Oryzias latipes: one gene and its partners. The protein of the gene in region 3 interacts with the protein of the main gene of each other region in a pairwise test. Links are inferred from orthologs where the notes say so. Each region holds a gene or a part of one and is shown on either strand. Other genes may lie near its edges.

Region 1 (3,954 bases), on a different chromosome or scaffold from region 3:
CATGCATCCTCCTGTCCTGCTCCCTCATCGCTCTTGAGTTTCCTGTTTTCAAACAGATGTTGCCTTAGGTATTATTTATGTTACACAAACCAAATAAACAGGAGACATCTTTGCTTTTTTCTTTAGATGTGCTACCAGGTGGAGCTACATCTTGTGGGAGAATCTTGGATTTTCCTTTTTTGAGATTCTGTTTTTTTTTTTAAACCAATATTTTTTAGGTGTGTTTCATATTTGCCGTAGGCCTTGATGCAGTGATGCTGTTCAGATAAACCATGTGTTTGAATGCTGGTCTGTTTATAAATTGTGATCGCGACCCTTCTCAACGCCAAGCCTTGGACTGATTTGTTAGCTGAAGAAAAATCCATTCAGATGTGATTGTTTTTGCCTTCTCAATGATGTTTCCAGATAGATCGACTGCTGTTTTTTAGTTTTTACTTTTCTTCCCTTTTTCGATCAGTAAAATTGCACCAGGCAAGTTCAGTCAGCAGCTGAATTTCAGTGGATTTTCATTTTTAAAGTTCAAGTTTTGGATTATTATTATGTCTTCTTAGACTGTTATTGACAAGTCTGGTTTTTTTTTTACTGTTTGGGAAAGAAAAAAAACGATTTTACCATTGAGGTTAAATACAAGAGCTAAACCATGCAGATTAGACGTGTTAGGGGAGTGTACAGTTTTTAAAAATTAGGCAAACCAACAAACACATGTAGCAATATCAACAACAGGTCTTGTTTTTGCCCAATTTTGTTACTTTTATGCAACTTTAATAAAAAATATGTAAAACTGACGATTTGTGGATCATTTTCTTTTAATGTCAATATTTTTGCTCTTCCGTTTATTATTACACGTATCAAAAAAAATTTTGCTGTATATGCATGAGGTTGAGCAAAATTATTTTATGCTCAATTTCATTTTACATTTTGCGTTTCATGTGACGTAAACATAATCAGAAATTGTATTTTTTTCTTGTAGTGTTGTGTTTAAACAACAATTTTTCATTCTACTTAATTATATTATATTTAAATTATATGTTGGAGATGTATATCTAAATTACAATTGGTTCATAGAAGCTGTGTCTTCATTCTGATTGGACAGGGTGCTTGCGGGATGGTTCTTCCTATTGGATAGTCAGGAGCAGCCCTCGACGCTGATTGGTTGATTTTACAGTTCACAGAGTCCGGCAAAGTGTCTAACTGAAGAGGAGCCGATCGAAGAGGAAGTACTTTCCAAAATGGAAATATATCATTAAACCGAACGTTTCTTCTGCATAGCTCGGCTAAGGGACACGGTAAGATGGCTTTCACGTCTGACTTAACAGTAATAAAGATGATTTATGTTTGTTAGTAGCGGATAGCATCCCCCTGTCCGCTCGGACTCAGGGAGTGCGTTCTTCGAGTTAATCCGTGTAGTTCGGTTGGCAGGTCGGTCTGCAAGATGCTCCTATGATTCTCTGGAGTGCTAATTTCCATCTTTAATTAATAAAAACGTTTCAAGAAGATTTCCATGAGAAAGGCGGTTCCTTCGTGTGTAAATGTGATGCGTGCGCAGTGACTGCCGTCTCCGTTTTTGATTCAATTGTTAGCTTGTGTTGCACTTGACTTCACGGAGGTGTGTTTGAGCTCAATGTGGTGAAAGTGCGGCCGAAATGCGAAATAAACATTACAGGGTTTTTAAGTGAGTGCAGCCTTCAAAACGAGCGTCTCTTTTCCTGACTTTAGTGTAGGCTTTAAATCCCGCCGTTGCTTTCATTTTGTTTACCAGTTTACTCTACCTCCATACGGAAGCCAGTTTTGGTCAAGTTAAGCACTGTGAAAGCGGACTTCCGGTTTGAATAAAAACCTAAATGGCAATTTTCAACATTATTGAACCTTTTTAGGCCTTTAGACGTTTAGAAAAAAATTATTTTCAGTTTTTACCACACGCTTATTACACATTTTGCCATGTTATGCAATGTAAAATAATTATTGTTTATTTAGCATTTGTTTTTAGCTAATCGATTTCCGGTTTTGACCCTTGTTATTGTAGCTTTATTAAAGCTAAGTCATCGTCAAGGTTTGACTTAACCACATTACATACTGAATAAATGTAGTTGTAATTTAATGAATTCACCTGTAGAACGTGTATAATAATGTAACGTGAATCTGTTAGACCAAAAACTGTTTGGACATCTTTAAGAATCTTTAAAACTCCTAATGTTATCAAATAAACGAGGTCATCCCATCAGTAAAAACACAAATGCCGCATATCTTACAAACATCATCACAAGAATACTTTAAAAAATATATGGCTTTGATTTAAAAGCATTTGTTTTGCCAGATGTTATAAATGCATTTCTGACATACAGTGTAGGAAGTGTTTGATCTCTTGCTGATTTTGTTGGTTTGCATTCAAAAGAAATTGTCATCTGAACACTATGTTCATTTGAACAGTGAAAGATAGAAAAGCGAGAAATCGATTTTAAAGTATTTGTGAATTTATTTGCGTTTCATTGAGGGAAACTATTATTTTAACTGTCTTGCTGGGAAGACGTAGTACTTTATTGGAAAAGCCTTATTAGCAGCACAGAAGTCAGACATAGTTGATTATCAGGTTTCTGCACATATCAGGAAGAATCTTGGTCCACTCTTCTTTGCAAATGACTTCTAAATCATCAAGCCTTAATGGCTGTCGCTTAGCAACCCTAAGCTTCAGCATTCCCCATAGATTTTCTATAGGACTGAGGTCCAGGGCCACTCCATGGCTTTGATCTGCTTCCTCTGCAGCCATTTCCATGATTGACTTGGCTGTATGATCAGATTTAACTTCCTCCTCCACGCTCGACAGTGGGGATGGTGCTCTTGGGGTCAACAGATCTAGAATCTTCTCCAAATAATCCAGTGAAAGCTCTTTAGTCTCTCATGTTGGAGAGTTTGGAGTCTGAATGATTCTGTGGACAGGTGTCTTTTCTACAGGGGATTGGTTCAAACAGGTGTCTTCAATTCAGGTGACAGGATTAGGAGAGTCTGTGTGAACCAGAACTCTTAATTCTTACTAAAGGATCAAATACTAATTTCCCTCAGTGAAATGCAAATAAATGTATATCAATTCTTTTAAATGGATTCATTGGTTTTCTTTGTGATTTTCTAAATCGCATGAACCATTAAGATGACAGACTAAAACCTTTTTCAGTAACACTCAGGTAGGTCTGTGGACCATCAGGGACATGTGGATTTTGTGACTGAAAGCTTTTGTCGTTGAGCTTGTCGTTGTTGTTTCCAGCTCGCCATGCCGGCCCAACCCCCTGTGAGGGAGCCAGAGGAGAAGATGGGGGCAGAAGGAGAGTCCCAACTCCCTACGGCCAACGGCGACACGGAGGAGCCAAAGCGGAATGAAACGAGAGCAGGAGGGGGAGGAGACGAGCCCATGGAGGAAAGCATGGAGGAGAGGGACAGCGACCTGGATGAGACTGAAGAAGAGGAGGAGGAGGAGGAGGAGGAAGAGGAGAGTTCAGGTAAAAACAAAAAAGGTTTTTTATAGAAGTGATTCAAAAATGCAGAGAGAATAAATTTCCTTTATGTGTCCTTTTGTGAAGAGATGGACGATGAAGACTGTGAGCGGAGGAGAGGAGAGTGTCTCGATGAAATGATGGATCTGGAGAAACAGTTTCAGGAGCTGAAGGAGAAGTAACTCCAAACTTGGCACTGGGGGGGGGGTATTATGGGATGTGGTCTGCTATGTGAACATCACTGGTCAGGAAAACCTCGACTAAAGGGCCTCTGTGCTTGCAGGCTGTTCCGGGAGCGGCTGAACCAGGTGAAGGTGAAGCTGGATGAGGTGCTGACAGGAAAGGCTGGAGAGTACCGGGAGCCGCTGACGGCTCTGCAGAACAGCATGCAGATACGGACGCAAGTCGCCGGTAAAAGAAAAAAACCCTCCTCCCTTCTGCAGCTACGTTCACCCCGCCTCAGTAACGCACA
Region 2 (4,243 bases), on a different chromosome or scaffold from region 3:
CCAGTGTTTTTAATTAGGGTGATCCCGTTTTTTGCCTAAATCACAAGTTCTGTTTCCTAGAACATAGTTTCTGCAGGAGTTTTATCGGGAATTCACCTCTAAGTTATAGACTGGACCGTTGGTGCAATGTGAGCCTTCCCACACTCCCATCATCCATCTGTTTACACTCTGTCACAGCCCCTCACACCTCCAACTGCTGTGACCAAAATGGCGAGCAAATTTGGAGCTATCCAGCCACAAACAAAGATGTACATGCATCTAGTCATTTACAAGTGGATGTATCAGAATGGAGCAGGGCCGGGAATTTGCCAACTACCTACATCACTGCTACAAGCTTTTCCAACAAGATTTTTTTCGTCTGCTCCTAATTCACAATTTAACTTTTTTTTAAATACTCAGAATCACAAATTTTAAGCGTAATTTTCTTTATATAGAGTGAAGACCGAAAGTTTGGACACACTTTGTGTGTACAGTCCAAACCTTTGGTCTACATCCTCCATCATGAGAAAAATGCTACCAGAAAATTTTAAAAACACCCAAAATGTAATTTTCATTGAAGTGGGTAATAATTGTTTATATTTTGCGCAAATATACTGGATTCCTTTTATGTTTCACGAAGCTAAATAAACATCAATATGTTACAATAATGAAGAGTGTAATCAGAATAAAATAATCTATTCTGTTATGATTTCAAAATAACATGGCCATGCTTGTTCCTGTATTTTGTTACGTTTCTCAAAGAAGAGCAGCTTATCCTGAACTGTGACTTATTTATAATTTTTGTTCCTTCTTTATCGTCCACTTTTTGGCTGCTGCAGCTTGTACTCCAGAACAATTTGTAGCCTGAAAAATACACTATATTTAAACCAAATTAGAACTGTATTTTTGTACAATAAGCAAAGAGTTTCTTTCTTTGTCAGGAGGTGCTAAGGACTAGTGGTCTTAAAACTCAGCAATTAAAGCACCACATTATTATGCTGCGTCTATTAGCAGGAACAGTCATGTTAATTTTTAATGTGAAATCATGGAAAACATACAAATGAGTGGGGAAGTGATTCACAGGAGCATCACAACCATTCAACACACTTATTTCCAAGCGTTATGTGATGTCTAACAACAATTTAAAACATCTAAAAAGTAAATAAATGACTAGTTGGTTTTTAAGTGGGGCAGCAGAGTTTTAACTGTAAAGGAGCAGTGTTTACTTAATGGTGCGTTAATCCCCCAAACACGCCTCAACAAATAATAATGGCACCTTCCAAAGAAAGAGCGACAAGAATGGCCTGTTCCGACTTAGAAAAAAAAAACACGTTTTACTTTAAAACTCTTGTTCGCTCTGGGTTAACGCATTTAAAGCTAAAAATAAAAGTTTTCCAAGTTTGGTCACACATAAAGGGGGGGGGGGTGATACCAATCAAGCTGGTGTTCGTGACTTTTCCACATTCTCTGATCAACAGTTAAGGAAACGCGTCTGTCGTGGAAAAGCGCTCGCGCCCGCCTGCTGCTGGGAACTTTCCTTTCATCTTCCGGTACTTGTTGGGACTCCTGCGGCGCCGCGCGCACCGAACTCCCTGCTCCCGGAGGCGAGGAGACAACCTGGCTGGAAGGGGGTATGGTTGTAGAAGAAGAGGAGGAGCGCTGTGCTGTAGTTTGTGGTAGCTCCACGACACTTGAGTGCAGGATTAGCATGTGCGCCGCTGTTTGCTGCGGTTTCTGTCGGTCGCGGTGAAGCAGAGCCGTCGAGCTTCTTCTTCACGCACGCAGGTGTGCGTTTCCTCTCAATTAGCCTGAGTGTGGACTCATTGACGCGGTGGCAGTCCGCAGAGGTCCTTCACTTCAGCGACCGCCCTGAAGAACAACGTAGGTTATCAAGTATTTTAAATGTTTTATCGACGTTTACCCTATTTAGCCTCAGCAACTCGTTGAAAATCACATCAAACGATGCTTTTTTTTCATTAGTCGAAATATCAATTCTGTTTTAATTTGTGATTATTATCAAAACTAATTATTATTTAGAAGGTAGCCATTCGCAAACATTTGTCATTTTCAGTTGAAAAATAAAATATGGCCTCAATAATGTGTTTTTAAAAACTCGTTTGAATTTTAGTGTTATTTCCTGTTCAATTGTAAGTTGCCCTCCTCCTCCTGCTGTCCTGCTGGTACATTATTATTTTTAGTGAGGCTCAGGCATTCAGAAAACGAGGAAAAAGCCTTTCCAGTCTGTGTCTTTGCCTATTCACTGTAAATTAGTTTATACATCTATATGAGTTTTAACTGACACCATAACAGATGATCACTGTCAGATGAAGATTAAATAAATAAACTGCTGAACTCCACCCTGTCATCTCTCTGCTGGAGGGTGGGAACCAGGCATGACATTCATGTTGTTTTACCATGGTTGACTTTAAACGACCTCACTCCCCGTCAGAGGCACTCTGGTGGATTTTTAGACGCCCCTACATGCTGGATCTGTATTCCCACCCATCAGGGAATAGTTGATAGTTTGCTTTACAGCTGCAGATTTATGTCTCATGTCATGTGAAAATGTTAATTTCTTGGCAAACGTATTTTAACCTTTAAAGGAGGTCTACTTGAATATGTGACTTTATATTTTTTGGGTTTGTTCTGCAAGGCTAAACACAGATTCAGCTTTTGCTGTCTTCCCAAACTGTGGCTTCCTCTTCATGGATCTTGTCTCAGTGGAACGGCTTTAGCCTTAAACCAGTTTATCCACACGGTTCCTAATTGAAATCGCCATGGCTCTGGAAATGATCAATCTGAGCTTCTTGTCCGACTTGGAGCGGGAGAAGATCCTGGAAGTGCTGAAACGGGACGAGGAGCTGAGGCTCACGGAGGAGCGGCGTGTACGGTAAGAAAACAGAAACTCTTATTCGTTTTTACAGTTTCTATAATCTGAAACATTTAACACATGTAAATATTTTAAGGCATGACTAGGACTGAGCATCACTGCCAAAAATACTGAACTGATTTGACATCGCTTCGATAACTTTTGACTTGATTTTGAATTTGATGCGATTTGATTTAATACTTATTAATCAAATTTCTATATAACCCAATTTTGTTTAGTTTTTAAAAAGTTTTCACACAACAACTGATATAAACTAAACAAATATGGAACTTTTATTACTAAAAATTCTCACATTTAAAACGTTTGAAAGCACTTTTTTGTTAGAAAAACAAGTGTAAGAAATTATTAGAAGACCCACTCTAATGGAAATAGATTAATGAACATCTTCATTTTTGTTTTTTTTACATTTTCTTGGAGCATTGTTCTTATGATGGAGGCATATGTGAAGGAAATTAGGATTAAAGTTTCTTTATTCAAATCAATGTAATTCAGGAGCAGAAGAACAAACACTGTTTGAAAGAGCTTGTCATTGCAGCTCTCCTCCGCTCCATTCCAGTGCATCCACTTGTAGACAATTATATCCATTAACGTCTTTTCGTAGCACCAGTAAAGTTAGGTTGAGGTTGTGAAGGGCTGTAAGCCAGTGGGAGAGAGTGTGAACAGAAGAGGTGATGGGAAATGAGTGAAGGCTTACTATCCACCAAGAGTCTAACCCACAACTCAGAGGTGAATTTCTAATAAACTACTGCCGCGCTGCAGAAAAAATGTCCTATAAAAAGTCTTTTTTTTAGATTGTTTTATCTAAAAATATAAATAATATTAATTATAAGACCTCTGGGAACACTTTTACAATAGATCAAAAGATGATTGGAGGGGAACTTTAACTGAAAACTTTTTTCTAAAGTAAAAAAATAAGATCAATTTGGTGTTAAGAGATACTTTTTTTTAACCCTTCAGCTCTTGGATTTCCTAGAGAATTTGGATTTTATGAAGTTATTTATTTAAATAATAACACTGACATGTTTATTGTTTCATCTATGCCAGAAAGTGTAGTAAATGTACTTGGAAAGCGTCTTCTTCATCCTGGATAAATGGCTTTAGCTCTTTGCTGATTTTAGGATAATTCTTTTAAAGACATTGGCATGATTGATGCTTGTTTGAATTAATTGTTCCTGAGCAGGTTCTCCTGCATTTTAGTTAGTATGGTGTTTCTTCAAGTAACCTGTTGCTTTATTATTCAAAGATTTAAGACTTCCAGGTTTTTACCACTATCAGGATCTGGGATTTAACCAAACTATCTCCAGATCTCAGCCCAGTTTTCCAGCTACAATATGATTCACTATGTCGTACCAGGGTATATCACCATGGTAACTT
Region 3 (3,104 bases):
AGACTTAACTGTCAAACGTTATGCGTTCCTCCTTCATGGACTAATTTCTTCGATTTTGGCAGTTGAAACTTGCACAATGAACTGGCATTTTGTCAAAAAATGTGTTCACATGCATGCACTGCAGCAGTGACTTGACCTCACCAAGATGGCGGTGCTCTCCTCCCATGAGGAACTACGTGATGTCTCCTCTAGCGATAGAACTCATTGGTCCGTTCCTTTTTTTGTTTTATTAGAGCGTGAAAAAAATATACCGGGGTGTACAAATCCTTCACAATTCTGATAAAATTTTAAAAATACTTTAATTTTTGTTGTTTGTTTTTAATCACAAGAAAACTGACCTCAACTTTGTTTCCAATCTCAAATTTTAATTCTAGATGGAGCTGCTTGGATTTGAACCCACAACCATCCAATCTCAACGCAGACACTCCACTACTAGGCCACTTAGCTAAAGAATATAGAAAGGAAGAATGGTAAACACAGAAAACTACACAATTACAAAAAAATGTTCAAAATTTGTTTTTAATTTACCTTAAATACCATAATGACTTTCTGTATACAAAAATGCTTCCATAATTCAAACAGTTTGACAATAAAACATATTTATAACAACAAAAAGTTGCGGCAGCTCATTAAAAACAGGCCAATATGTTCTACCAGCATTCGTGTTTATTTCACAAAGGAAACGTAACAATAAGAGTTTTTGTTAAATATTTTCTGTACTTTTTGTGTCTAAATGAAATGAGAATGAAAAACAAATGTTAAGAGATATATTTATAGGCCATATCACCCAGCCCTTGGTATCCTCTGACAGCTATTTGATTCCTTCCCGAGTGTCAATTGACAGCTCCTAGGTCCTGTCCCTAGTGTCCTTTGACAGTCCCTTGGACCTGTCCTAGTGTCAATTGACAGTCCCTTGGTCCTGTCCCTAGTGTCCTTTGACAGCCCCTTGGTCCTGTCCCTAGTGTCCTTTGACAGCCCCTTGGTCCTGTCCCTAGTGTCCTTTGACAGCCCCTTGGTCCTGTCCCTAGTGTCCTTTGACAGCCCCTTGGTCCTGTCCCTAGTGTCAATTGACAGCCCCTTGGTCCTGTCCCTAGTGTCCTTTGACAGCCCCTAGGTCCTGTCCCTAGTGTCCTTTGACAGGTCTTTGGTCATGTCCTGAGTGTCAATTGACAGCTTTTTGGTCATGTCCCTAGTGTCCTTTGACAGCCCCTTGGTACTGTCCCTAGTGTCCTTTGACAGCCCCTTGGTCCTGTCCCTAGTGTCAATTGACAGCCCCTTGGTCCTGTCCCTAGTGTCCTTTGACAGCCCCTTGGTCCTGTCCCTAGTTTCCTTTGACAGCCCCTTGGTCCTGTCCCTAGTGTCCTTTGACAGCCGTTGGTCCTGTCCCTAGTGTCCTTTGACAGCCCCTTGGTCCTGTCCCCAGTGTCCTTCGACAGCCCCTTGGTCCTGTCCCTAGTGTCCTTTGACAGCCCCTTGGTTATGTCCCTAGTGTCCTTTGACAGCCCCTTGGTCCTGTCCCTAGTGTCCTTTGACAGGTCTTTGGTCATGTCCAGAGGGTCAATTGACAGCTCTTTGGTCATGTCCCACAGGTATTTAGTGGAGGACAGAAGAATTTCCGAGAAGTGAAGGAACCGAGACGGTTTTATTCTCCTGTGGTTTTTTTGTGGAATAATCGGGAGATCAGGCTGCAGAACGCTGCAGAGACTTCAAAGCAGGAAGGATTTCCTCCAGGTGAGTCACACCTGCAGCACAAACAGGACAGCAGATGATCTTCCTTCAGCCAGCAGCTGTTCAGTAATGAGACGAGAACATCAGAGCTTCACCCTCACCCAGAGTCTGTAGGATGTCGGTGATGAGGCGGTGGAAGGCGGGCAGGAACTCGTCGTGCTGCTTCACTTTGAGGATGACGCTGCAGGAAGAAGAACGGCGTGAAGAGGGGAAGCAGCCGAGCGCCACTCTGGAGCTGCAGGTGCTCACCTGTCGATGTCCGCCTCCTCCAGCAGGTCCCGCAGTCCCGACTGCTGAGCAGACGCCAGCGCAGACACGTGGTTCACCACCTCCGCAGGCGACGCTCTGCCGTCTGCAATCAGAAAGACTCCAGCGTGACTGCAGGAATGCGCAGACCAGCCGCCGGACGGACGGGATCAGAGCTACCCAGGTCCAGAGCGTCCTTCAGGTTCCTCATGGCGTTGGTCATCTCTGCCAGCCGCGTGTAGACCTCGTTCATGCGGGGGTAGACCCCTCTGAGGGACGGAACGTCGAACAGCTTCTGGAAGTGGGACACTATGGCGCTCAGAGTGTAGGGGGCGGAGTTCCGGAGCTTCTGGAGAACAGAGCAGAGTGAGAACCTGACGCTCGGACCAGCGCCGACCCACAGGCAGACCGGCAGACCTGCTCAGGGTCTTTGGATGCGTTTTCCAGCATGTCCTCCACCAGCACGATCAGGTCCTCCACCTTCACCGCGGCCGCAGAGTCCTCTCGAGGCCCGCCTGACAGGTCCACCAGCAGGTCCCGGAGGTCCTGAAGACACAGCAGTGTCACACATCGGCACGTCCTCACCGCGGAAACCCCAGAACCACGCCGTACCTTCAGCAGGCGGCGCTGGCCAGCCCAGTCCTCCAACACCGGCAGGAGCGCCTGGAAGTCAGCCAGCTCTGACTCCGCCTCTTTGGAGGAGGCGGGGCTCCCGATGACCGCTCTGATGTCAGACAGCAGCTGGAAGCAGAGAGAGGGAGGAGACGGTAAAACAAGGAGGAAAACATCAGAGTGAAGCTTGGACAGAGACCGGGGGAAGAGCGCTCACGGTTCGGAACTGAGCGCACAGCCAGACCTCCCTAGGAGGTTCTTCTACGCCCTTTGTCTTAGCTCCGCCCACTGTGGTCAACCTGCAGAGACAAGAAAGGAGTGGAAAATAACCGTAGGTAGCTCCTCCTCTGTCCGTCACCACGCAGAGGAGCTCCACCCTCAACCAACAGAACTCCACCAGAACCACCTTTAGGCTGCGTTCAGCTGGTCCTTAGCTGGTCCACGTCTCAGCTCCTGCGTTCTAAACTCTTGCGTTCACGTGGAGCTACACAAATTCCTACGACAGTTTTCAAACTAAA
Region 4 (4,175 bases), on a different chromosome or scaffold from region 3:
AGCCAAAGGTAGGTGCAGCTGCAAGTGACCACGAGGAGGAGAGTCCGCGCGCTGACCATGGTTCTGAAAACCAAAAACTCTTGTTTCTGCGACTCTTTGGAGACAATTGGGAATCACGGGTCCTGTGGAGATCCTTCTATCCAGAGAAGTCCCGTTTTTATAGGCAGATGCTGCACTTGTGACATGCAGGAGCAGCCTCTGAATTATTCAGGCCATCACTCGTTACCTTTGCATCTTTGACAAGACAACACCAGGTCAAATCCTAAGGGGCTAAAGGTGAATTTACATTTAATATCATGTGTTTGCCATCTTAATATCAAAGCTTAGTGGATTTCCTGAACATTTTTAAGCGCAAGATGTGACACTAAATTTTTTATGTTTTTGTATTTGAACATACAGTACATGAAACAGATATTAAGAACTTTTAAAAGTTAATCTAAATAAATCTGTTAAGTTAAAGGTTTATCAATCAGTTATACCAAACAGTTTTATTTATATAATCATCATATCTAGTGTCAGGTTTCAATCAAATCCAACCAACCTCACTGACACCAACCTGTACTCAAGATTCAATTTCCTCCTGTGTGGATAACCTTAAGCCCACCTGCAACACCCCTTTAAAAACGTAGGAACGTGTCCCTGTTGGGATTGGTTTGCACACGAATGCGTGTCAGAGGTAAATCACCACTGACATCATACACCTTAAAGGTCACCATACGGATCACGATCTCTTCCAATGTCTCCTAAAAAGGTAGATTCAAGAAGACAGCCATGACGACAGTGACCAAGCATTGACTCCACTTTAAACCAATCCAGGAATGTTATGCAACATTTAATATGCGGTATGTTTGAACTTTTCATAACCAAGATAAGACTAAAGAGTCATTGTGTTATTATAAACTGGTAGATTCAAATGAAAGTTTCAGGAAACGTGATTGTGTCGTTTTGTTTTGATGCTAGCACTGTTTTCATGGCTCTGATTTAAAAAAAAAAAAAAACTACAACCAGTGTCGGGTAAAACTTAAATACAAAGCTTATCAAATATTCATTCCACTGTCTAAATGTGATGCTTGTCAGTTTACTGCCATAATGTGCATGTTGTAACCTTTGTGTTACAACATACATGTTAAATCTTCTAGAAACCCAACAGTGTCACTTCCTGTGCCGAAACATTATAAATAATCCCTTTACTCTAAAAGAGTCAACTGTAAATTAATATAAACTATAAATAAATCAATGTTACTTCACAAAACCAAGTTAATCCAAATCCATTAAATATCGACCAATCAACTTTACTTTTTTAAATTGTTGTTGTAATTACTCCCTTCTTCCATGTGGGGGCACCATAATATAATTGTTGACCGGAAACAAAAATCTGACATCACCGGAAGTTAAGCCTGCAGCTCTTTTCCCCTTAAAGCTTCGTCGATTTATTTCTCGCTCAATTCTTTGTTTTGGTTAATCCAAAAAAGTTACAATGTCCGAAAGAAAAGTTCTGAATGTAAGTACATCCATATTTATGATATGAAGTGTTTAACTTTAAAGCGGGTAGTTAGGCGTAATTTTAAGAAAAATATTACGTTCTTGAGTTCATTTTTGTAGCATTTGTTACTGTGTTTTCGTATTTATATTGATCCTTTGTGAAATTCAGAAACAATATATTGCTAATAAATTGCCTTTTGCAGAAATACTACCCCCCGGATTTCGATCCAGCCAAAATACCCAAACTCAAACTCCCTAAAGATCGTCAATATGTGGTCCGATTGATGGCTCCCTTCAACATGAGGTTTGTTTTTTACTTGTGTTGTGTGCGTATACGACAGCGTGTTCCAGTTCCTGTCAATATCCAGCAAGTTCGCACAGCCATTGAAGAAGAGTGGACCAAATTCCACAGGCCACAATAGCCTCCTTAGACCCGGCCAATTCATTTATGTCCTCTATAATGGACATTTTGTTTACCTTTATATTTCTAAGGAGTTAAGAGATACCTTTCCAAATCCTACTCTACACTGCAGAGGACATCCTGGGCTTTCCAGTGATGTGTCAGGTGATGAGTTTGCATGCTGGGAACTTTAAGTTTTACCTCTACCAAGATGGCTTCCATACCATTAACCTGTTTTTATGGAAAGGTGAAAGGCAAGTCAAAATGTCTGTATCTATTCATTTTTTTTTACCATGATAATTATATATAATCTTGGTCATAAACATGTTAGGAACAATATTTTTAGATCTGAAAACAGTTTCATGTTTTCTGTTTTAAAACAGCAGGCATTTAATGAATGTCCACTGTAGAGGACACCGGGAGCATTTTAATGTATTTAATGGCTGCACATTATTTTAGGAGAAAAAAGTGAAGCAGAGAGGATTCTATGCCAGATAGTTGAGGAAGATTCAGATTTGGAGCTTTAGGATGATGAAAAGGATGAGGAGGATGAGATTCAGGAAAATATAACTTGTTTTTTTAATTAACTAGATTTTTTTTTGTGTTTTTTAAACGTCCATCATAACAGGTTTACACCTGTGCTAGCAGGGCGCCCTGCCTCTCAAGATGACTCCAAAGCTTGTGAATACTGGTGTCCAATCCTGTACTTTTCACAGTACATTGATAACAACATTTTCGAGGATCTGTTTTTGATCTAGTTGTGTTCCAACTACCGGGGAATCACACTCCTCAGCCTCCCTGGGAAAGTCTATGCCAGGGTACTGGAGAAGAGAGTCCATCCTATAGTCGAACCTCAGATCCAGGAACAACAGTTAGGTTTCCGTCCTGGTCGTGTAACAGTGGACCAGCTCTACACCCTATCTAGGGCGCTGGAGGGATTGCGGGAGTTCGCTCATTCAGTCCATATGTGTTTTGTGGATTTGGAGAAGGTGTTCGACCGCGTCCCCCGTATCCTGTGGATGGTTCTCTGGGAGTATGGGGTCCGGGGAGCCTTACTGAGGGCTGTCTGCTCTCTGTATGACCGGAGCAAGGGCTTGGTTCGCATAGCCGACAGTAAGTCAAACCTGTTTCCGGTGCACTTTGGACTCTGGCAGGGATGCTCTTTATCATAGTTCATAGTTTTTATGGACAGAATTTCTAGGGCACAGACAGGTGCCGTTGGGGGTCTGGTTTGGGGACCACAGGATTTCAGCTCTGCTCTTTGCAGATGACGTTGTCCTGTTGGCTTCATTAAGCCGGGACCTCCAGCATGCATTGGGGTGGTTTGTGGCAGAGCGTGAAGCGGCTGGGATGAGGGTCAGCACCGCTAACTCTGAGGCCATGGTTCTCGACCAAAGAAAGGTAGTTTGCCATCTCTATGTGGGTGGAGTCTCCCTGCCCCAGGTGGAGAAGTTTAAATATCTTGGAGTCTTGTCCATGAGGGGAGGGAAGACAGGAACGTGAGATTGACAGGCGGATCGGAGCAGTGTCCGTAGTTATGTGGTTGCTGTTCCGGTACGTTGTGGTGAGGAGAGAGCAGAGCCAATAAGCAAAGCTCTCAATTTACTGGTCAATCTTCCTCTGTAGCAGATGGTCCAACAAGTGACAAAAGTGATATAGAATTTTATTGTTTTAGAAAAAAATGTAATGTTTTTTGGATGAATATCACTCTTAAGATTTAATCTGCTCCTTTGTCTGATTTACCTAATTGAGTTCTACTTTCACAGAAATATCGTCCTGTTGTCCTCTACAGTGGACATGTTGGGAAATTAAAATAAAAAATAATTTAAAAAAATTAAAATTGTGAGGGTTTTTTTTAGACCTAAATAGATAGGAATTCACACAAAAACAAAAATTGGAAGACACTTTTTTTCCTCGGTTCTCAGGAGGATAGACAACCTGATCAACTCTATGCGAAGGAGATGTGTCGCACTTCATGAGGCAAATGGTGGTCACACCAGATACTGACTGGTTGTCTGAGTCCCCTGACCCCCTCAATAAAACAAAACTGAAGATTTCAGACTGGCCTTTTCTCGTGGCCAGTCTAAGGCACACCTGTGCAATACTCGTGCTGTTTAATCAGCATCTTGATATGGCACACCTGTAAGGTGGATGGATTGTCTTGGCAAAGGAGAAGTGCTCAATATCACAGATTTGTGAACAATATTTCAGAGAACTGGTTATTTTGTGTATGTGGAAAATGTTTCACATCTTTGAGTTCATACCATAAAAAATGGGAGCAACAACAAAAGTT
Region 5 (4,225 bases), on a different chromosome or scaffold from region 3:
TTACACTAAGATCTGAGAGTGACGGCGGTCAGTGAGCACGTTTAAATCCACAACTCATTCCAAACAAGGGAACATTCGGGGAAAAAACGGAGTTCATGTGTCTTATTTATCCATCAGACGCAGCATTGAATGATGATTTTATATAAAACAAACAATTTAGTTGATGCAAACATAGATCTATAGACCATGTCCCCCCTTTCAGACCCAGATTGTCAGACTGAAATATTTCATCAATCAGATCTTCCTCAATCTTCCTCTTCTACTGCTTGTTGTTTTTATTAAAACAGACACTCCCATGAAAACTTTTTGTGGTGTTTTTAACATGTTCTTGTGTCATTATACTGATGATAGAGAAAATAAGTAAAGAAAATTGATCTCAAAATTGCACTTCTGAGTATTTTCATTCATTCATTTTCTAAACCCGTTTTGTCTCTTTCGGGGTCACGGGGCTGCTGGAGCCTATCCTGGCCACTCGTGGGCGAAGGAGGGGGACATCCTGGACAGGTCGCCAGTCTGTCGCAGGGCCACAAATCACACACCCTTGCACACTCACATTCACACCTAGGGACAGCTTAAAGTAACCAATTAACCTATGAAGCATGTTTTTGGATGGTGGGAGGAAGCTGGAGTCTATTTCTGAATATTTCTTTATTCAAATCATTGTGATTAAGGAGCAGACGAAAAAATGGAAAGGAGCGCATCTCCTATGTATGTCTTACGGGTCACAAGCTCCCTGCGACGACTAAATCCATGTGCAGTGGGGCAAAAAGTATTTACCTGTCCGCAAACTCAAACAGTCAACCCTCCAATTGCAAGCATTCACCTCTCCTACAGTTCCAGTTATCACAGGTGTGCCCCAAGGCTCTGTCCTGGGGTCCTGCCTCCTCCCTCCAGCTGGTTGCACCCACCGGTGGGCTCACCTCCATGAGCTCTGCCCCCCAGCTCTGGAACTCACTTCCCTCTGATTTACGGAACATGGACTCACTCCTTCAGTTTGCTAAAAATCTCAAAACCCACTTCTTGAGACTAGCAAATCCACCCTAATTAATTTATAATTCTATTGTTTTTTTTGTTGTTGTTTTTAATGAACTTAACAAATGTTTTCTTCTTGTAACTAGTTTTATGATTGTTTTGTACCTGTAAGGTGACCTTGGGTGACTCTTGGGTGTATATACACACACACACACACATACATGTATATCAACAGAATCCACTTACTTCTTGTTGATGATTGGATTCCCCGCTTTTTTTGGCATGGTGGGAATTTGTTCTTTCTTCTCTTCGTCCTCTTCCTTGCTGCCTTCATCCCCATCCTGCTCATTTGGAAAACCAAATACCAGCAGTTTTTTTTTTTTTTTGCTAAAACCTTTTTACTCAAAGAACCAAAGAAAAGACTTAAATGTTTACCCGTGTTGTTTCAAGCAGATGGTTCCCAGAGAGGTCTAGATCGTTGATGGTCGTCACAGTAACAGTATGGTTTGGGTGATCATACTGTACAGACTCAGTTTTACTCGTCACTACATCTTCCAGAAGATCATCGTCAGCTGCAACCCAGAAAGGAAGAAGGTAATCGGACTTTAGCGTCAAAAGGAAAAATAACAACTATCTACTTCTTGGTTTACTCACCAAGAGCTTCTGTCCTCTCCTTTAGCATTTTAATGTATTCTTTAAGCCTCTACAAAAAAATAAAAGCACAATAAATGACAGCATTTCTTGTTAGGCAAAGCAGATCTGATGGAAGTCAGATCCTAAATTTTGAACCTTACTTCTTCTTTGACTCTTTTTTGCTCATCCTTTATTTTATTTTCTATTTCTTTCACTGCTGCTTTCTTTCTTTCCAACTTCCGCTTGTGGAATCCAGTGAGATACTCTCTTGAAAAGGGGAAAAGGTAAAAGGCCTCTTATTTAAAATTCAAACTCCCATTTTGAGCTGAAAACTGTAGGAGACTAAAAATGAATCATGAATCAGAAATAAAGCAATTTCTAGAGGAAACATAACTCCAACCTAAAGGACATAAACCCGTGGCACAGGTAAGGTGCCTGGCACTTTTTCCCTATTATTTCGTATTCTCCTGTCGTCATCACAGGTGGTGGAGTGATTACAGGTCAAAAGTTTCAGCAAAAGTAAGTGAAAGAGTTGCTATAAGGTATATGCCAGGCTTGGAAGAAAAATAACAAACAAGCGCTGACATTTATTACCTGTGTTTAAATATAAAACAGACCACAGACGGTGCTTTCATTTTTTGTTTAGTTATTTCCGTCATATCCTTTTTTAAAATACCAGTATAGATAGACAGCTGGATAGATAGATAGATATCACCCAACAACTTCTCCTGTCTCTGTTTTCAGTTTGAATTCACAAGCATGTTATGCTAATATTAGCCAAAGCTAACCGTTAAAAACATTTTTATCGTCTTTAAACTTACTGTCTGTCTTTGTCATCAAACGTAACGACGCATTTGTTTTCTCTCCTCTTAGATCTGGGCTTAAATGTAGACTTCTTTGAGGCCCGGTTAAAGTTTTTACTGTTTTTCATTGTGAACACGTGAGTGAGCGGCGGTGGTCCACTTTATTTACATGCGCGTCATTTGATTCCGTCCGACGGAAAACAAGTACTTATGGATCGTTCCGCCGAGCTAGGAGTTGTGCCAAGATATGTTTCCCCTCCCAGGATTTGTTTCCCCTGTATCTGATATCGTTAATTTGTCTCTTAAAACTAAAATATAAGCGTAAAAGGAAGGTGCATGTCTACGATATAATGTGGCAAAATATGAGGGCTACGAAACAAATCAACGATCCCAGTCCCAGAAGTTGTGCCGCGACAGCGGAAACAAATTCCGGCAGGGGAAACATTTCTTGGCACAACACCTGTTAAGGAAAAAAGGTTAATATTGTTTATTATTAAATTTACATTCCATTATAAAGCAGTTCAACTCTCATTTCTTGTGGAATCTCGTCATGCTTTTCTTGCAATTATCTATAGAAGCGTATTGCATACAAAGAATTGCAGCTTCATATTTAGCATTAAGTTTTAGATCTTGGTAGAAGGAACTTCATTACTGGAACATTTTCGTGGAAATATCGCGCTTTTTTGTTAATTGAGTTTAAGTATTTTCCTTTTTCTTTTATGATACACTGATTTTCAAAACGCAGCATCACCACTTTGTTCGTCAAACCAATTTTATGGCAAACTTCCATCAGTCGAACCAGCAGAGATGTTGTTTTGAGTCTTACTTCTTGATTATCTTCTATATAAAAAGGTACACAAACTGCAGGTGAAATTCTGTTGTGACATTTTATTATAAAACTTTAAAAGAAAGACATACATTTGATAGGGCAAAAGACAAAAATAAAGTAACAATTTCAAAGAAAACCAAAAAAAAAAAAAAAGCACTGGTTAAAGGCTGACGACCGACGCTTGACCGGTCAGAGAGTTTGAATGCAAACGGATTAAACCTTTCTATGTTCCTTTGACTGTAGTTTGACGTGAAAACTGATTCCTGACATTTCCAGCCCGTATACCCATAGATCCTAAAATCTCCAAACATTATTTATTATTAACTATAGGAGTGAGTTCTGCAGACAAAGCTTACATTTTAGATGAAGAATTGTTATGTACAAACAAAAAAAGAGCTTTTTTGAGATGCCCCTCTGATCCTAAAGATGATTTCTTCAAAAAAAAAAGAAAAAGAAAAGCCCACCTTTAACAAAACCGCCCCACAAAAACATTACCAATACCTTTAAATACATTACTCTGAGCAAAGAAAAATAACAACCAAAGTGCTGCGGCACATACACGTCAACAATTACAAATAAAAGAAAACAGGACAGAGATCTGAAAAGACAAACTCTGTCAGATCAGACCGGTGTGATTTGTGGCCCTGCGACAGACTGGCAACCTGTCCAGGGTGTCCCCTGCCTTCACCCTCCAGTGGCCGGGATAGGCAGCAGCAGCCCCGTGACCCCAAAAGGAACAAAGCGGCTTAGAACATGAATGAATACAGAACATCAAGGTCATTTTGCTTCAGAGTCTTCCAAGGCAGGAACCTCCTTTTGGAAAATTTGATTCATCCGTTTTTGTTTTCATGTTTCCAAACATCCTTCCAAACACTCAACGTATGAAGCTGAACAGCTGGATGGAGTCAGCTGGTAAACGACCACGGCTGCTGCTGGAAGGCAACCTTACGTGAACGTCTGAGGAAAAAGTTTGGAGGAATTCAACCTG
Region 6 (4,052 bases), on a different chromosome or scaffold from region 3:
ATTTTTGGAGAAGATATGAATTTATTCCACCACACATGTACAAACACCACACAAACTAACAAAAAAAAAAAAAAAGAGAGAAAAACTTTACAGAAAACCAAAGTACGTTACCCGTCTCGTTTTCCCATAATGTCATCAAAGGCTTTAGACAGACGCTGGAGTCTGCTGAGTCCATTAGAAACGGATTCCAAATCTTGGTCAAACTTTCTGTTTAATCAGAAGAAAACAGAGCTGACATCAGGACCAACACATAAAGGGGAAACACCAACATATGAACACAGGCAGTGACTGAACTCACAGTCTCTGGCTCTGTGTGTTGGGGGAAGCATAAGGACTTCGTAAAGCAGCCATTCGAACCAGTTGCCTCCTGCCTCCTCCTGTTTTAACCCCACGAATGGATCCCTCAGGGGTCTTTTGGCCTTTAGAGGTTGGGGTCCGCCTGGGAGTAGCTGCAGATCTAGGCGTTCGCCTGACTGTTGTGGCTCGCCCAGGAGTACGGCTTGGAGTGCAATAATTTGAGGAACAAGCATTATCTCCTTCCTGACCCGGTGTTGCAACCAAACACTCCTCACGGGAAAATTCTCTTTTTTTCTGCAACCTCTGAGTAAGAGAAGACAGCGGAATGGACGATGTTGAAAGAAACACAAATGGTATTGTCCCAGAACAATTCTTACATGTTTTTTTCTTTACCTGGTACATTCCCGTAAAGGAGTTTCGGGCACTGCGAGTAAATTTGCTGACTGGATTGGGTTTAGGCTGATTCTTCAGGGATTCCCAAGTGGGATTTTCCGGTAGAGAGCCGGTCTGGACCGAGCGGAGTGGGAGGCGCTTGCGCAAAGACATCCGCAGCGAGTTCAGGGAAGATGATGAGCGAAGTTTGCGGAAACGGTCAGGAGCTTCTGGAGAGTTTTCTGCATCATCTGATTCATCTAGGACTGTGTGTGCTCGCCAGACTCCAACCACAGCTCTGCCAACACCATCCATCACTGCTGCGCTGAGAGATGCGTAAAACATAAGGGGAAACAAAGCCTTGAGGATGAAAATTGGGTTTTTGGTAGGCCTGCACAATACACCGCAAATTTATCGCTATCGCAATATCTAGCTGTGCAATCTGCATATCGCAAAAGACAATGAAAATAGCAATGAATGGTTCCCCTACATGTGCTAAAACAATCTTATGGCAACTTGAAGCATTAAACGAATCAAATAAATCCCTTTATGCATTTGACCAATCGGATGGACCCCGTCACGTTGTTGACCAATCAGATGGAGCCCTATTATGTTAGATGTTCGCCTCCTATGTTGACGAGGGTCATTTGGAGTATAATCTTTAAACTGTTGCAATGAAATGGGAATAACATTTTTGGTTGTTTTGCTCTTTGTTTATATACCGCAAATTATATCGTTATCGCAATATTAAGTTTTCCTCATGTCGTGCAGCCCTAGTTTTTGGTGTTTTGGAGATGTTAATATAGCATTTCTCTGATGATGGAGGACATACATGAAGGAAAATAAGCTCAAAATTACATTTCTGAGTATTGCTTTATTGTGAATCAGGAGCAGACAAAAAAATGCAGTTGGATAGCTGGAATTTGGCTTAAAACTGTACAGCTGGATAGCTCCATATTGCTCACCATTTTTTGTAGCAAACGTAATGTAAAGTTGGGGTTGTGAGGGGCTGTAACTTGCAGAGAGCATGTAAACAGATAACTCTCAGTTAAGGGTGACAGGAAGATGGGATGGGGATACTCACTCCGCACCAACAGTCCCACCCAAAACTCAGGGCAATTTTTTAAATGGACTACTGCTGCTCTGCAGAAACTATGTCCTAAAAACGACACAGGCTTTTTATTTATTTTTCAAAGTCTGGTTAAACATGGCCAAGACCACTGAGGACACCTAAAATAGATCAAATGATGGGAGCGGGACTTCAACCATGTGAAAGAGAGCTCATAATTTTATACTTTAAAACTGAATAACATATCAAAGGACACTAAATTAAAAGTCCATCATATTCTGAGCACTTACAATACATAAAATAAGACACAATCAACGGCAGATTTTCAAGGGGCTCACACACTCTAAGACAGTTAGTCGTTAAGTCTCATTTGCTGGTTTGTCAGCAAATGAGAATTAAAGCACTAAAAATCCATCAAAATAAAATAAACATGCACGTGCATGATTAAAAAAGAAATAACTAGCTGTATTAAAACGTAACGCTGAGGGTCAAACCGTCAAAAAGCTCACCAACACCGGTATACCCCCCCCCCCCCCCACACACACACACACACACACTTGGGTGAAAAGAACAAAGTTGTCAATCAAACTGCCCCACCCCGCTTTGTTTTATTCCCGGGGCTCTCACTACTCAATCGACAGATGAAACAAACATCGAAGTCATGTTAGCATGTTATGAATCGTCATATATAAAACACCACATTTGAATAGCAAGAGCTGAACCACACAATTTTTCGGTTGTTCTTCTACGACTAAACTATAACTTTGTAGTTTGTAACGTCACTCAAATTAAATAAGGTCGTGTTTGTAAAAGTGCCGCTAAGTACGCGACACTGGTAGCTCAGTCTTACAAAATAAAAATCAGAAAAGACAATCCAACGTCCAGCTAAATGCTGAAGCGGTAACTTACCTAAAAACCACGCGTTCAATTGGCTTGTTGTCGCTGCTAGCAGAACTTTCCTGTTTGAATTTGGCGGCGGCGGTCACTCCCTCTGTGGAATGCACGCACGCTGACGTCATCACGTCCTTACTCATAGCTCGTGGTGAAATACGTCAAATTCAAAAGAACTCGTCCTATTGTCCTTTTTCGCAAAAATATAGTGGAAAATATAATGCTACTACTACTATTACTACTACAACAACTACTACTACTATTACTACTACTACTACTACTACTACTACTACTACTACTACTACTAATAACAATAATAATAATAATAATAATAATAATAATAATAATAATAATAATAATAATAATAACGTTATTTTATTATGTATTATCATGCTTTTATTTATTTGTTGATAGTAAATTCAGGTTTAATGCAATCTGGGGAATAATAGGAAGAGAGAATATCAGAAAAATGGATTTTTATTGTTTTTAATGGAGTAAGTTTAAGAAATGTACAGTATTTCACAAATATGATACACACAGGCAGTACATGGCTAACTTAAATTTATTTCAAATACTTGAACTTGTCAATGAACTATAGAGCAGTAGAGTTATCATTAGACTGATGGATATTTGCCATAAAGACAGATAAAACACAGAAAATTGCTACAACTATCAATCAAGGGCATTTACACTAAAAGCATGGCAAAATAGTATTCCATCTTCCATTCATCCATTGTCAGTATCTGCTTTATCACAAAGCAAATGTCATATGGTAAACATGTACAGTGAGCATACAAAGTTAATATTATAATGTAAAGTGAGGCTTAGTTGGTGTTCTCTATAAAAAAGAACAAAACAAAACAATAAAAACTCATGATCCAAAAATCATAAAAAGGGTAAATATCATCTTCTTACATTTTGTTCTAAATGTGCCATTAGGCTACTATGCAAGGTACTGATGGTGACCTTGTCCACAGTGAACAGTACCTTCTGTGATAAGCTCCAGTGAAAACCACAACCCTATCAAAAAAACAAAAACATAAGTCACTGACTGTGCTATAAAAACCTGGATGTGCATTTTAGTAAAGTGGCCAGCAGATGTCACTGCAAACCTATTTGTGAAACCCCAGCATTAGATTGGTGGGATCCCAGACAATCAAGTCAATGTTTTTCAACTTCAGTCCAATCATTTCCTAATATGAACATAGCTGTCTTTTCATATTGGATCTTATATGGCTGTATTAAAAACACCCAGCATGTGATTACAATATGTCTACAAGACTACAAACATATGTGTGCGATTCAAAAACCATTAAAATGACAGAGAAGGAAAATAACAAAAACTCAAGACAAATTGCAATCTTTTAATAAAATTATGACATTAATGATTTCTCTGATTGGTCAACCTTGGCCACAAGCTATG
Region 7 (4,088 bases), on a different chromosome or scaffold from region 3:
TGCACTCAAAGCATTTTAGCCACGACTTTCACCTCTTTCTGACAACAAACATGAACGTTTAAATGTAATCATGTTTGCGTTTTTGAGTAATTTTTCATTTGCATCCGTTGTAACAAGAACTCATTTAGGCCCTTTTAACCCTTTAAAGTCTGTTTCTGACTGAATACTTTTGTATTATTTCGGATTCCCATCGCTGTCTTCTGTTTCATACATGGAAAACATTGCTTCCAACCTGCAAATATTGTCCCATGAAATGTTTGCGTTTTGTATAGGTAGACGATCCTTTCTGTATTGGAATTGTTTTTATATGTGAACTGTTATTTTTATTTTATTACAATAATTTAGGAAGTGAATAAATCTATTTCACAGAAGTTTTTTCTCGATCTCTGCTGCGTTTTCTCCGGTGGAAACTTCAAATCTGTTTTTGGGCAGCATCTGACCGTGTTTCAGACGTGGTTTCTGCGTGACTGAAGAACCATGAAAATGTTTCAGCTGCGCTGAAGCTGATGATCCTGCAGTAAAAGCAGAGAAACCGGTTTTGCTTTGACCGGTGGATCTGCGTTCTGACGTGAAACAGCAGCTCTTTTCTGCGTGAGCACTGAGGCATCGATGCTAAAAACAACAGGAGCCTGCAGGACTCAGGCAGAAGCTCAGTGCACGGCAACTCCAAACGCTGACCTTCAAAATAAAAGCTTCAACCTTTCAGCTGCCTTCGATGCCTTTTTTGTTTTTTGAACAAGGATAACAGAATTCTTTTCACATTAAAGAGTAAATCTTACTGCTTCATGAGGTAAATGTTTGTAGCTCGTCTGTATTCCAGTTATTTAATTCCTGTTGATCACGGATTGAGAACTGGAGACTTGCAGGCAGAGACCTAAGAAGACTTTAGACTTTTGAGGAATGTTTCAACATCTATTTACTGTCAAATGTGACGTTTTGACCAACGGCGCAGACTCCAGTGCAAACGTGCAGAAAAATAAAGAGTGAAAATAATTATAATATGCCTGAGAGGATAACCAGATATACTTCAAAGACCTTTGTTGTCACATTTGTGTTTGTATTTCTGTGTTGTTGCTGCTTCATCTCATTCACTGGTTGGTTTATAGTCATTTTTTAACAACAGAATTTTTATTTTCAAAAATCAAAACTTTAAACTCAACTTTGACTCTAAATAAGAAAAACAATCAGAAATTCAGCAAATGAGTAAAATTAAAATATTGATTAAAATATTCAAACTGATGTAAAAGTCAAACTAAATCTGATCCATAAAGGAAGTGCATCACAAACATCCATGCTGGAGAGTTTCCTGTCCATCCCACGGCGTGATAGACAGAGCATTTCTCTCTGAAGCAGTTGTCTTTTTTCTGCTCAGAGTTCCCCGTCTTCAGTTGGACTGAGGCTTTTATTCTGTTAGACTTCTGAAATCCTCTAGTTTGGCGTTTGGAAGGCCTCAGGCTCCATTTAGACTTTGTTTTTTCTGCCTGTTTAGCCTCCATGGCCTAAAATATCTGGAGCTGATGCTGCTCCTCCAGCTGGACCAACTGTGAAAACATCAGCAGGACTCTGTTCATCCATGACGGTTCATGAACCTCTGGAATTCAGAGAGAAGAGCGTGTCAGGAGGAGGAAAACGTACCACGACTCTCATGGTGTAGAATCAGCAGGAATTGAGGTTCTGTTCTCATGTTCCTTGTGTCAGCAGTAAAGGACCCACGACCATAGAATCCCCCTTTGACATGTAAAATCTGTGCAGTTTCATTTAATAATTTGTTTTCTGCTGTTCTTTTCCCGTCAAAGTTAATAAAAGTAATCCAGGTGTTGTGTAGTGCAGTTTACAGACTGTCCGATTAGGGATTTACTTTAAATAATTGTAATGGATTACATTTCAAATGTACTTGTTTCGTCCGATTAAGAGTGGATGACCTTTATTTTGTTGAGCTTCCTGCTTCAACTTGTGCTTTTATTTCGAAGTAGCAACCGGAAACGGGATGGTTTTTGACCGTTTCTAGCTGAGCGTTTGAAAAGAGGAGGAAAGTGGAATGTTTCCTTCCTCTCCATCTGTTGGTTGCGGGACTTCGTGGAGGTTTAGCTGGACTCTTTCGTGTTTGAAATCACCACAAAGCGGATTTTTTTCCCCGCCTGAGATTTTCTGCTCCGCGGGAGGAGCTGCAGGCCGATGCCGGCAGGTGATGATGGATGCCAGCGGGGATCCAGGTGAGGGGGGGGGCTGTCTGCGATTTTCTTGTTGAATTTCAGTTTAACCTTTTGAATGTCTGTGATAAAAAGTAAAACTTTTGAAACGGATGACCCTTTCTTCAGTCAGAACTCCTTGACAAAATTAGAAAAGTTTTACAGAAAAGGTTTCCCGGTCGAGTCTGACTGCAGAAGAATCTGGATCTTTATGATCCAAACCTGAGAGGAAACGTCTGACAAACGTGTGAACGGGAGTCCACATCAAAGCCGTCATGTCTTTGATGTTATCACGTGATCGGACTGTTTTTGCCAGTTCGTTTGGGTCTCAGGTGATTTGCTGCCTCGTGCAGGTGTTTCAGGTCGTTTCCATGTTGTGCTGTGACGTCAGCGTTCTTTAGGGATTGAGTAGCTGAAGAAGTTTCTTTAAACCAGTTTGGGGAGAGGAGGAAGTTTAAAGTCTCTTTGGGCTCCTTTGAAAAGCAGAAAAAGGTATGTAAAGGATGCAAAACGTCAACCAATCAGAGGTCCTGACCCAAGGTGACTTCATGGCTGAAAACCTTCACCTCACGGGAGAATTCTCACCTTTGTACGCAAACACTAAAGTTTACGCTTTTGCTGACATCAGATGAAGTTAAAAACGGCATGAATTCATCCAGATATCCGGGTTCCACAGCAACACCAGATCATCACATCACCACCACCGTGCTTTACACTTGGTGTTTGATTTTCTGCAGAAAACAAACAAGCAGATCAGGTTTGTTCAGATTCAGACTCGGACTCTTAAACCTCCCGGTAAATGTTCTTGATTTTCTGTGAAGTGACTGCAGTTTATGTGAAGCAACAGTTATTTCTCTGCTTGGACGGTTCTGTTGGAGATCTGCAGGATTTTCTTTTAAATAAACCCAAAACAGCTGCTTTTCCAGCTTCTAGAAAATAAAAATCATTTAGAAAACAGTTTGACCTGAGAATCATGAAAGCACGTGTTTTTAGGATGCAATAAATGATGTACAGCTGCTTTTTTTGGACAGCCAATCATTTCAGAGGCTCCCGGGTTTGGAAAGTGAAAGGTGGTGCTTATGCTCTGGGATCCACTACAAGTGTGAACATTATTTTCTGTTCTGATAAAAGAAAAAAAGGTTTTCCTCATAGAGTCAATATTTTCCCTGTTAGGTTGACGTCAACAGCATCTTAAGTTTGAATCCACATTTATTTCCTCATAAAAATGTTTCTTTTTTTGTTGGAGTGTTGGTTAAAGGGCACATCTGCATGGACAGAAGGGGTGGGGTCTATTGAAAACAGATGAGGGGAAAGGATGAGGTGCAGGAATGGAACCTGCAGCCAGACACACGTCTGATCTGCATCTGCGATGCTCGCCGTTCCTGGTTGGAGTCGCTGGAGGTCGGACGGTTTAAAGAGCGTGTTCAGAGTTAGACGGACATGCACTGAGGGAGGGGCGCCTTTCCTTCTGGAAAAACAACTCCCAGGAAGGATTGAGTCATTTTCAGGCTCTGAAACGAGCAGAGAGCGTCCGCTTCACCACAGGCTGCAGAGCTCTGATGAAATCCAGAGGCCAGTAAAGCCCCCCCCCCCCCCTTTAGGATCTTTACATTCGACTCAATGTCAAAAACTAGCAGTCATCATCCACCATCATGTCCTTCAGATAACTTTAAAAAGCTACAGACTCACATCTGGTTGGAGAAGATGCTGCTGAAATACACAAAAGCTTCAAATGAAGCCAAGTCTCTCAGGAACAGTTATTTACTATATTAAAAACTGTAAAAGGATTCAAGTTAGCGGTTGATGTATCTGGTTCTTTTGCAGCAGGATTTGTGGATCCAATCATCAGTTAGATTTGAGCCAAAGCTGGGAAGAACCACTTTGTTTGGAGGAGATCCG

Evidence for each region.
Region 1: the proteins of cep70 (region 3) and brms1 interact in binary tests that used the Homo sapiens proteins (3 or more experiments, as listed by UniProt). The two-hybrid records come from large-scale screens. The link is inferred for Oryzias latipes from reciprocal best matches to the Homo sapiens genes CEP70 and BRMS1.
Region 2: the proteins of cep70 (region 3) and sytl4 interact in binary tests that used the Homo sapiens proteins (3 or more experiments, as listed by UniProt). The two-hybrid records come from large-scale screens. The link is inferred for Oryzias latipes from reciprocal best matches to the Homo sapiens genes CEP70 and SYTL4.
Region 4: the proteins of cep70 (region 3) and ccdc94 interact in a two-hybrid assay, tested with the Homo sapiens proteins (2 studies listed by BioGRID and IntAct). The two-hybrid records come from large-scale screens. The link is inferred for Oryzias latipes from reciprocal best matches to the Homo sapiens genes CEP70 and YJU2.
Region 5: the proteins of cep70 (region 3) and nol12 interact in binary tests that used the Homo sapiens proteins (3 or more experiments, as listed by UniProt). The two-hybrid records come from large-scale screens. The link is inferred for Oryzias latipes from reciprocal best matches to the Homo sapiens genes CEP70 and NOL12.
Region 6: the proteins of cep70 (region 3) and uncharacterized protein LOC101171023 interact in binary tests that used the Homo sapiens proteins (3 or more experiments, as listed by UniProt). The two-hybrid records come from large-scale screens. The link is inferred for Oryzias latipes from reciprocal best matches to the Homo sapiens genes CEP70 and PIMREG.
Region 7: the proteins of cep70 (region 3) and arhgef3 interact in binary tests that used the Homo sapiens proteins (3 or more experiments, as listed by UniProt). The link is inferred for Oryzias latipes from reciprocal best matches to the Homo sapiens genes CEP70 and ARHGEF3.

Annotation. Positions count from the first base shown.
Region 1 is NC_019876.2:12,603,394-12,607,347, reverse strand, and holds the start of brms1 (breast cancer metastasis-suppressor 1), read left to right. Parts: upstream 1-1,154; 5' UTR 1,155-1,286; intron 1,287-3,065; exon of another isoform or gene 3,066-3,176; intron 3,177-3,256; 5' UTR 3,257-3,262; coding exon 3,263-3,488; intron 3,489-3,569; coding exon 3,570-3,660; intron 3,661-3,765; coding exon 3,766-3,893; intron 3,894-3,954. UniProt on the Homo sapiens protein: Transcriptional repressor. Down-regulates transcription activation by NF-kappa-B by promoting the deacetylation of RELA at 'Lys-310'. Promotes HDAC1 binding to promoter regions.
Region 2 is NC_019868.2:10,075,580-10,079,822, forward strand, and holds the start of sytl4 (synaptotagmin-like protein 4), read left to right. Parts: upstream 1-1,443; 5' UTR 1,444-1,860; intron 1,861-2,632; 5' UTR 2,633-2,756; coding exon 2,757-2,869; intron 2,870-4,243. UniProt on the Homo sapiens protein: Modulates exocytosis of dense-core granules and secretion of hormones in the pancreas and the pituitary. Interacts with vesicles containing negatively charged phospholipids in a Ca(2+)-independent manner.
Region 3 is NC_019860.2:1,154,314-1,157,417, forward strand, and holds the end of cep70 (centrosomal protein of 70 kDa), read right to left. Parts: intron 2,886-3,104; coding exon 2,804-2,885; intron 2,716-2,803; coding exon 2,587-2,715; intron 2,521-2,586; coding exon 2,392-2,520; intron 2,324-2,391; coding exon 2,155-2,323; intron 2,081-2,154; coding exon 1,978-2,080; intron 1,910-1,977; coding exon 1,830-1,909; intron 1,743-1,829; coding exon 1,681-1,742; 3' UTR 501-1,680; downstream 1-500.
Region 4 is NC_019880.2:9,141,798-9,145,972, reverse strand, and holds the start of ccdc94 (coiled-coil domain-containing protein 94), read left to right. Parts: upstream 1-1,375; 5' UTR 1,376-1,477; coding exon 1,478-1,501; intron 1,502-1,685; coding exon 1,686-1,786; intron 1,787-4,175. Other genes in the region: cocaine- and amphetamine-regulated transcript ch22 precursor, read right to left, coding at 1-59.
Region 5 is NC_019866.2:20,007,494-20,011,718, reverse strand, and holds the start of nol12 (nucleolar protein 12), read right to left. Parts: upstream 2,801-4,225; 5' UTR 2,537-2,800; coding exon 2,427-2,536; intron 1,873-2,426; coding exon 1,767-1,872; intron 1,676-1,766; coding exon 1,627-1,675; intron 1,545-1,626; coding exon 1,408-1,544; intron 1,314-1,407; coding exon 1,219-1,313; intron 1-1,218. UniProt on the Homo sapiens protein: Multifunctional RNA binding protein that plays a role in RNA metabolism and DNA maintenance. Participates in the resolution of DNA stress and the maintenance of genome integrity by localizing to sites of DNA insults.
Region 6 is NC_019872.2:12,650,590-12,654,641, forward strand, and holds the start of uncharacterized protein LOC101171023, read right to left. Parts: upstream 2,801-4,052; 5' UTR 2,773-2,800; coding exon 2,648-2,772; intron 995-2,647; coding exon 691-994; intron 601-690; coding exon 299-600; intron 208-298; coding exon 112-207; intron 1-111. UniProt on the Homo sapiens protein: During mitosis, may play a role in the control of metaphase-to-anaphase transition.
Region 7 is NC_019863.2:32,612,986-32,617,073, forward strand, and holds the start of arhgef3 (rho guanine nucleotide exchange factor 3), read left to right. Parts: upstream 1-1,288; 5' UTR 1,289-2,175; coding exon 2,176-2,213; intron 2,214-4,088. UniProt on the Homo sapiens protein: Acts as a guanine nucleotide exchange factor (GEF) for RhoA and RhoB GTPases.